Linked DNA regions of Tribolium castaneum. The protein of the gene in region 1 binds, or shares a complex with, the protein of each later gene. Links are inferred from orthologs where the notes say so. Each region holds a gene or a part of one and is shown in the gene's direction. Other genes may lie near its edges.

Region 1 (4,752 bases):
CGGGGGGCGTGAGGTGGGAGGATCGCCCCCTTTGGTTTGACATTTACGAGGCTTTTCCCCCCAAAGAAGAGCCAAACTACGACCGGCCTGCGCCCAATATCCCCATTAAACAAATTTTCTACGAAGAGGACAAAATACGAGCGTAAGTAACGTAACCGAATAGTTTGACTCATCACAGTTTAGTATTTTTCACCGCAATAATAAAAAAATCGGCGCTACGCATTTACTCGACACGAAATATAAAACCCTGACGCAGAAATTCATCGAGAGTTATACAACAATTCAAGCACAGTATGGCGAGTCAGCGACTGAAGAACAAATCTACAAGGAGGCAATTGATTTGTTGAAGAAGAGCCACCAAGAAGTCAAAAAGGAGGAAGACGATGTTAGTTTAAGTACGGCGTTTAAGGAGTCAATGAAGGAGCAAAAGGCCAAATTAAAAATCAATGTTGTTGATATATTTAAATCGTAGTATTTTTTTGTTAAAATCTAGTCTTAATAAATGTTTTTTGTGACACTTTGTTTTATTTTACGTCAAATTAAAATGGGTAAAAAATTGAGTCGTCCACGAGGTAGCGAACAAAGCACTTATTCCCATATTTTTTATACCGGGAGTATCGAAACTATTCCACCATCAATCACCTATCCTTCGATATGTACTTCCCCCTCGTTTCATTTGTCTGAAAAGCCTTCGGTGTCGAAGTGTGACAGTGAATTGATTCATTACGGCGAACTGCAGAGTATGTACATCAAGTCTCAGACTTTCACAGCTGATCATTTGGCCCCCTTGACCATCAGAACCTCACAGTTAGTGCTGTCGCTTCTGAAGAGGCATTTGGGGCAAATTGTTAGCGACATCCACGCAGGGTACTGTTTTATTTAATTTAATTTTTTTGCCTATTCAAAAAATTCATAACTCAAAAACTAAAATTCGTAGAACAAAACGGTTTATTCCAGTGAATTCAGCGACTCATTTTACGTATCATATGTTTTTTTTACAACACTAGCTTACTCCAGAACGTATTTAAACACTTATTTGAATTTGAAAAATGGTGGATGCGCCGGGTTATTTTCTATTTTTTGGCAGGACATTGAAAATGCCTGATAAAGTGGTAGAAAAGTTTGGGGCTGCAAGTGCCCGGAACCCGAATCAGCAAACAGACACATATACTATCCAAAGACGAATGATCACTCATTTCGTCTCGTTACTTCACGTTCATGAAATGGTTTTAACTTATCTCAAACAGAGACGCATCGAACAAGCGCTCGATTTAATCAAACAAATTGCAGTTAGCCACGCACTTAAGGGAATCACAGTGACTGAATTTCGGGTAAGTCCCGATAATTCTCTAACTTGTTTTGGCAAAATACGACTTGCAGTTAGTGGACTGGTTTATTGTCAATTATTTGATAAAAAATAAAGTAAGCACTGACGAGAACATAAACCACTTGATGCTTTACTTAAGCACCCTTTCAAATTACATTGTGCGATATTTCGAAAGTCAAAGTGTTCGCCATACGATGCTCCGGGACATGACTAGTGTGAAAGTAAACGATCGGAGCAACAAAGCAAGGGAAAACTACCGTTTAATGAAACAGTGGACCTCCAGAATTGAACATTCCAGAGGCCAAATTAAGGATCTAATTGACAAGCTCCTCGCAGATCAAGCCCGCATGCAGGAAGCCAGAGAGGCAGAAATTAGGAGCATTGACACTCAAACGCTCAAAGAAAAAGACTTCATTATGCGATTTTTCGTACGCAAGAAACCGACAGAATCGCGCTCAACGTCACACTCGCACCAGGAGAAGGCCTCAACGTGAGTATCACCCCAATATAACAAATTCAAAATACCCGCCCACAGGATTGACGGCGAAGTTAAATCCCTACCGTTACCGTTCTCGCTACCAACCCAAAACGAAAGTAACCCTAGTAACCGAACAGATTTCTAAATTACCGACCCGGCTAACCGCTCTCCTCAAACAAAATTCGAAAAAAATACGGTTTTTTTGAATGAAAAGGCGCAAAATTTCGTGTTATTTAACGCTTCCCGACCCGTATTAATGGACAATACCGCCAAAACTTTCGTAAGCAGCGATCAATTTTTGAGGTTAGGTCATAATAACTTGTAGGTTATTCCAAATGAGTTATGCCGACGTGCTGGAGTGGCGGCTTCGTGGCTTTCCGTCAACGAATTCGGTGTTTTCGGCCACCAGAAAACACCAAAAGTTGATAAACCGAGTCACTTTGCCCCCTCGGACGCCTCTGTGTTTCAGCTGCGCCCCGACATTATTCTCTTCAAACCAATTTTACGCAAATTGGTAAATGAGGCCAACGGGACGTTTCTAACCCTTCAAGCCCTTGTAGCCACTGAGGGCGACCACAAGGCCGAATTATTGAAACTTAGCCGGCAGTACAGGTCCATAATAAGGGCCTGTTTGGAGAATTTGCAAGACGAGGTGATGCGAGCCGATGGCGATTATCGCGAAGAATTGCAAAATTACATTACGATTTTTTACTCAGTTGAGTGTATTTGGCACTTGTGTGAAATCTTATTTGTTGATGCGGTCCCAGGTGGGTTAGTGACACGGATATCTAAAAGCTAGGATGCGAAACGACGTACAAATAAAACGTCCTGAACTCGGTAGTTTTATCGTTAACTATATTTAAAAAAAATTCCGGACTTTTTTAGGTTCAGAAAATCCGGTAATTTCGTACATCGTTTCCTCCTAAGTTATAGACCTCTGTAGTGACACAAAATTTGGGGATTTTTGCCAAACAGTTGGGGTTTTAGGCAACATTGTTTTGCCCCACTTACTGGACTGGATTCGGTTTCATTTTCCGAAATATGACCGAAATGCGGCAAGTATGTTGGCTGGGGATTTGGGTGGTTTGGAGTCACACCCTGACTATTGGGAAACTGTCATTGGGTCACTATTACAAGGGCGGGTCAAGGTCGTTAGGGCCCTACTTAAATTACACTCAGAAGCTGAGTCACAACCTTTCAGAATTGTGGATCAGTGTCTGAGAGCAATGCCGGTTTATAACGTAAGTAGGCTGGGAGAAATTGACAGGTGTTCATGGCCGACTTTAGATGTTTAGTGGGACTTCAATCGCTGAATTTAATCTACAATGGAATCATTGGGTCGTGGATGTTCAATCGAAAATTGATGCGAAAATGTTTATTTCTTGTTATAATCTCAATTTGATTATGAAGGTTTTGTTTTAAGTGTGTTTGAGTTGGTAGTTTTCTTTATAAGATTTTTTGTAGCTTACGGTTGGTAACGAAATTGCATGGGGGGAAATACAGCAGTATTGCGAGACGTGGTATGAAATGTTAGCCGCGTGGTTATTTTTTACCCAACCTACTGTTAAATCGTTTGAGTTGGGACAGTTTGCCAAACAGTGTATCACGAAAATGTCCATAGGGAATAGAATTAAGCATTTGGATAGGATGTTGTTGGCAGCAATGGAGTTTGATATTTTACAGGTAATATGGCGCCACCTCTGTTAAGTTATTAAATAAAACTGAGACTTTTGAATAATCCTGTATTTTTCGGCTATACTTTTAGTTTTACACTTTTTTGCAAATGTACACATAAATTCTAACATTTCTTTGCCAGGTGATTAAAGAAATCCAAAATATGACAGACAGTGGCTGGTTTGTGAGCCACTTAACCGACCTACTTTACCATTCAGGCCGTCTAAGCGACACAACTATCGAAACTATTGAAAATTTGTGAGTCCCCGATTTTTTTTAAACCGTTTATTTTACAATTATTATTTCAGCCACCCTGATAAATTGCGCGAGTCATTTTTAATCGATTATGGCTCGCTTTTAATGGGCCATAAGTCACTATGGCAGGTCGGTTTAAGCTACTTGGACCACTGTCCCAGCGATGGCCCTGAAGTCACAAAATTACTACTTGCAAGACTGCCTCTAAATTCCGAAATGCGGGCTGAGAAAATTGTGAGAGAGGCTCTGAACCGGAATTTAACCGAAACGGCACAAAGTATTTGTAAAGTGCAAGGAATGGCTTGTAAAAACCGGGGGCGTCTGGGACACGCCCTCGCCTGGGCCCTCAAATCACAAGACGGCACTTTTGTGTCGTTTTTATCGAACAAATTTCTGCGAGAGTATGCCGAAAGTGGCGATTTGAACAGTATTGATCTTTTGGATAATCTCGGATCGTGTATTTTGGCAAGCGATAGGTTGATGTTTTTAGGCAAATATTACGAATTCCAGAAGTTATATCAAGCGAACGAGTACAAAGAAGCCGCCAATTTGCTCGTTTCGTTACTTGAGTCGAAAATAATACCAAACTTGTAAGGGGAAAACACTTAAAATTGCGGTTTTTTATCTAAAGATTATCTTGTAGTTTCTGGAGTATTCTATTAACTGACGCAATACCGCTACTTGAGTGCGAAAAAATGGTTTTTTCCTCAACTGATACCTACATCATTATGCAGTGTTTGGAAGAGCAGGAAAAAACCAAAGACTTGAAAGACAAACTTCCGATCTTGAGACTGTCAGCGACCCGGAATTTAGCACGAGCTTTGGTACACGAAGCCCAATTAAAATGATGATTTTTTTAACAATTTTTTATTAAATAAATACTTTACGTAAACAATAATACTTTTAATTGGCCACTTTAAGTGCACTCGCCAAGTCCTCAAATTCCTCAATTTTCGTATCAGTGATTGTGTCAGGGTCACTGTAAGTCACTCTGGCCGCAAAAAATTTCTCTTTTAAC
Region 2 (4,255 bases), on another chromosome or scaffold:
ACTTTTCCGCTTTTTGTTCTTGACATTTTATCGTGAAATCTCATTAGAGGAATTCGGCGAAAAATCGATCCGATTTGTAATTTACATACTAAAATATACGATGGGTTTGTCGTCGTAAATCCGGGACTAGGAAATTTTTTAGGGCCAACTACGTGATCGGTCCTAAGCTTTCACCGCTTATTACCAATTAGTTTGGTCAGCATGTAGTAAACATTGCCTAAACAGCATGCTAGAGAATTAATCAATTGATCACAAATTAAACTGACGTTCAGTTTTTATCAATGGTCCCAAAACGTGTAATAATACGCGTTAAGTCATGTTATGCAACGAATTTGCATGCGGAATTTCGTGTTAATTAACGGGGAAACATGATCTTGGCTTTTTGCGTGTGCTATTTGCCTTGGCAGTGAGCTACAAAATTTTATAATTGTTTCGTTCTACAAAAGAATTTATTTACTCGCAGTTGAATAAAATGAAGTTACGACTACAAGGATGCGAACTGATTGACCCAGTTTGTTTAAATTTCTATCGTGTTGGACTGCTCCAGACTGCATGTCTAGTGCAAATTCTTATCAGACTTCAACAAATTGATTTTTATTGTGCTCTGAATCATCTAAAGAAGGCTCGATTTTTCATAGTTTATAAACGGAACGAAATCAACTAGTCCAAACCAACTTAATGCAATACGAGTTGATTAAGTGCACTACTATTGAACATTAAATGGAAAAATATTTACATAAAATATTTACAGAATTTAGATATGGATGTGAGCCCTCTGTTCGCCTAAAAATATTTTCAAGTTTCTAGCTTTACTCAGAAGAAAAATATGAGGAAATGAAGATGTGAACACAAATTTGCTTTATATTAATTTTTGAATTTTTTTACATAAACGTCTTTTTTACAGTGAAGGCTATTCCAAATCAAAAAAAAAACTTTCGGATTTAAATTCAGCTAAAAAAATTACATCAGAATCATATTTCAGTAAACGTGTCAATTCTGTTAAATAGTTCTTTATTTTTGATTCTTTTTTAAGTTGTTAATAATTACGTTGCATTTCTCAAACTATCATAATCATTAATCACACAGACATTCAAGATATAGAATATTGCTTTTTTATATTGTTTTATTTTAAAATTATAAAATGTAGATATAGAAAAAATAACTTTTTATGGTACATAATAAGGCATACTAAAAGTATTTAAAGCAAATTTGGAATTCTGTGTAATTATTTAGCTTGTCATGCAGTAAAAATATACTTTTGCTGGGACACCCTGTAAAATTTGTTTTTAAATTTTATAGATGAACATAAAAACCTTTTATATGCTTTTGTACGGTCATCATTTAAAACATAACTTGTTTGTAATTTAAACGTCGTCTACCTACTTATACTTATAAGTTTTTTTTTGTAAAATATGGTTTTGTTTTTTAAGTAGCACTATACAAACAAATACTTTTAAGTTCGTAATGTGTAGCTTTAGTTTCTAATAAACAGTACTTAATTTTTTTGTTTCATAAGGAGCTAAAAGTAAACTACAATTAACGTTTAAATTGCTTATTATACTGATTTATGGGTCTGGCACGTGAAGCATTATTAAAGTTTAAAATAGCAAAGAAGTAAATAATTTCTTTCCATAAATTCCATTACTAGGCGCTTTAAATTCATTATTGTTGAAGTTATTACTTTCCTGTGTAATGGATTTTTAAATTATGATTTATCCTTGACTAGAATAATAAAACGTTTTCACGACTGTGTTTATAATTTCCTAAAAATTTTTTAATAAAATCAAGTTGGATAAGTTCCCGGTCAAGTTGCATCAAGCTGTTCCTCGGAGCGCCATCTCTGTGTGGGAAGAAAACATGCGGCTTGCGAACTGGTCTACGAACAGTTTTCGTTTTTATGGCATTTTACTTCCAGGATTTGCATTAATTTAATCCCTATTATTAGTACTATGGGACATATAACACGAATTAAGCTCAAATATCTTAAATTTTGTTAGGTCACAGAAATTATTATTGATTTTACTTGTATGAATCGCACCGCTCCCTATCGGCCATTTTATCACCATTGCAAAGACTTGTTTATTTTCAAGCTTATTCAAACATTTTTTCGTCAAACTCGTAAGACATAATGTTCTTTGCGTAACGGAAGCAACAAATATAACACTTGTGCCTAAATCACGTGAGTAACAGTTCAATTTCATTTATAAATGAAGCGGTTTCGGTTAACTGACGCCCCTAACCTTAGTTTTTCAGCAAAATGACTTTTATGTCCGTTGCTCATTACCTACAACTTGTGGAAAGGTATTGGCGGTCTCAGGACGGTGCAAAAGTGGCCAGTTTTCTGTCTCTTCGCCACGAACATGCAGGTTATGCCAATTACCACATTGAGAGTCCTGAGGGAATAGTTGAGCGTTTTTTGACCGCCCCTATCGACGAATTAGTGATTTTGCACCTAAAATGCCTGTTTGCCATAAGCCAGAGTGACTATCTATCGGCTTATAACATTCAGAGCAATTTGACGCAAACTTTCACTAAGATCTTGCAATCGCAAAAGGAGGAGAATTGGTCTTTGCCTATTATGTATGTCTTGTGCTTAGACTTGCGTCTTTTGGCGCAATTAGCCGAGAATCAGAGGAGCGGAATTAATGAGAAGCCCGGCGAAATGCTCGAGAAGGCAGCAGAATGCTTGATGGGTTGTTTCAGGGTGTGTGCTGCTGATAATAGGTCAGCAGAGGAGGATACAAAGAGGATAGGGATGTTGGCTTTGGTGAATCAATTGTTTAAGGTTTATTTTCGGATAAATAAGCTACATTTGTGCAAGCCCTTAATCAGAGCGATTGAGTCATCACCGTTTAAAGAGAGTTTTTCTCTGAGCCAACAAATCACATATCGGTATTTTGTGGGGCGCAAGGCTATGTTTGATAGCGATTATAAAGTCGCCGATGAGTATTTAACTTATGCTTTTGAAAATTGTCACAAGCTCAGTAAGAAGAACAAAACGCTTATATTGATTTACTTAGTTCCTGTGAAAATGTTGTTGGGGTATATCCCAAGCAAGGAGGTTCTGGAGAAGTATGACGTCATCCAGTTGTGGGATTTAGTACAAGCTGTATGTCAGGGTAATCTCAAAGCGTTTGACGAGATTATGGAAAAGCACGAAACCTTTTTCATCAAGTGTGGAATATATCTGATTGTTGATAAACTGAAAATCATAGCATATAGAAATTTGTTTAAAAAGGTGTATTTGATTCTAAATACGCATCAAATCCCTATTGAAGCACTGCAGACTGCTTTAGTGTATTTAGGACAGACTGATGTTGATTTGGATGAAACAGAATGTATTGTTGCTAATCTTATTTATGAAGGGAAAATTAAAGGATACATTTCGCATCAACATAGGAAGGTTGTTGTTAGTAAACAGAATCCATTTCCGCCACTTACAAGTCTATCATAATTAAGTTTTTATAAGTTTGTATAATTCGTCGTTCTCTACCTGCATTGTAACTATTTTGTAATTGCATATGAAATAAACTGTTAAAACTACCCGTTTTTTGTGTTTTATTAAAGCATAAACGTAACGTCTATAAATCTCTATACTGCGAAGTGACTAAGCGACCCTGCTGTCATAAGAAAAAAGCTAAATGTTGTATGCATAATAAAAACCGCATTAAAAATGTTTATGGAATTTTTATTTTATTAAAAATTGCTTTTGTTATTCGAAGAGGTCACAACTACAGTTGTTTTTTTTTAAATTGCTCAGATTTAATCTCGATACGAATCGTTTTGAAAATCAATAATGCATATTAAATCACCTAATGATTATGCCCATATAGGTAAAAAATATTCGTTTAAGCTTTACATAATAGATACGAAGTTAATACCGAATACATCCTTTAAATGTACTGTAAATATTATATTACATATTGCGAAATTTTGCACAAAAGGATTTATTTTCCCATAGGTAACTTTGTTACCCGAAAATTAAACTCATACATTTTATATGGAAATTTTATCATAGTCAAAAACTATTTAGTTTTTTATTATAAATTATTTCCAAACAAAATGTCACTATTATATAGTTGTTAATCCATTCTATGATTAAATAATTTTTTTACAAATCAATATTTCCACAAAAATTTCATTTTACCTAATTTAATAATTCTTCTCAAAAAACGTATTTAATAAACGCCGGAAAATGCAATAAAATTTGTATTTCTGTATTGTTTAATTCATTTGAATATTAATTGCTAAAAAA

The links. Proteins that work in one complex are often made in the same cells at the same time.
Region 2: Nup75 (region 1) and PCID2 share a complex: the UniProt entries of both Drosophila melanogaster proteins name them as parts of the nuclear pore complex. The link is inferred for Tribolium castaneum from reciprocal best matches to the Drosophila melanogaster genes Nup75 and PCID2.

What each region holds. Positions count from the first base shown.
Region 1 is NC_087399.1:876,128-880,879, forward strand, and holds Nup75 (nuclear pore complex protein Nup85), read left to right. Parts: upstream 1-1,952; 5' UTR 1,953-2,061; coding exon 2,062-2,085; exon of another isoform or gene 2,086-2,130; coding exon 2,131-2,572; exon of another isoform or gene 2,573-2,792; coding exon 2,793-3,046; exon of another isoform or gene 3,047-3,092; coding exon 3,093-3,215; exon of another isoform or gene 3,216-3,269; coding exon 3,270-3,488; exon of another isoform or gene 3,489-3,621; coding exon 3,622-3,737; exon of another isoform or gene 3,738-3,787; coding exon 3,788-4,324; exon of another isoform or gene 4,325-4,377; coding exon 4,378-4,582; 3' UTR 4,583-4,632; downstream 4,633-4,752. Other genes in the region: mRpS23 (small ribosomal subunit protein mS23), read left to right, coding at 1-142, 184-472; uncharacterized protein LOC660898, read left to right, coding at 503-867, 1,088-1,331, 1,381-1,817, 1,863-1,950; oxidized purine nucleoside triphosphate hydrolase, read right to left, coding at 4,638-4,752. UniProt on the Drosophila melanogaster protein: Component of the nuclear pore complex (NPC) that seems to be required for NPC assembly and maintenance. Required for nuclear import of phosphorylated Mad via importin msk.
Region 2 is NC_087397.1:8,459,776-8,464,030, reverse strand, and holds PCID2 (PCI domain-containing protein 2), read left to right. Parts: upstream 1-2,024; 5' UTR 2,025-2,179; intron 2,180-2,245; 5' UTR 2,246-2,257; coding exon 2,258-3,454; 3' UTR 3,455-3,543; downstream 3,544-4,255. UniProt on the Drosophila melanogaster protein: Required for the export of nuclear mRNAs and involved in mRNA trafficking in the cytoplasm.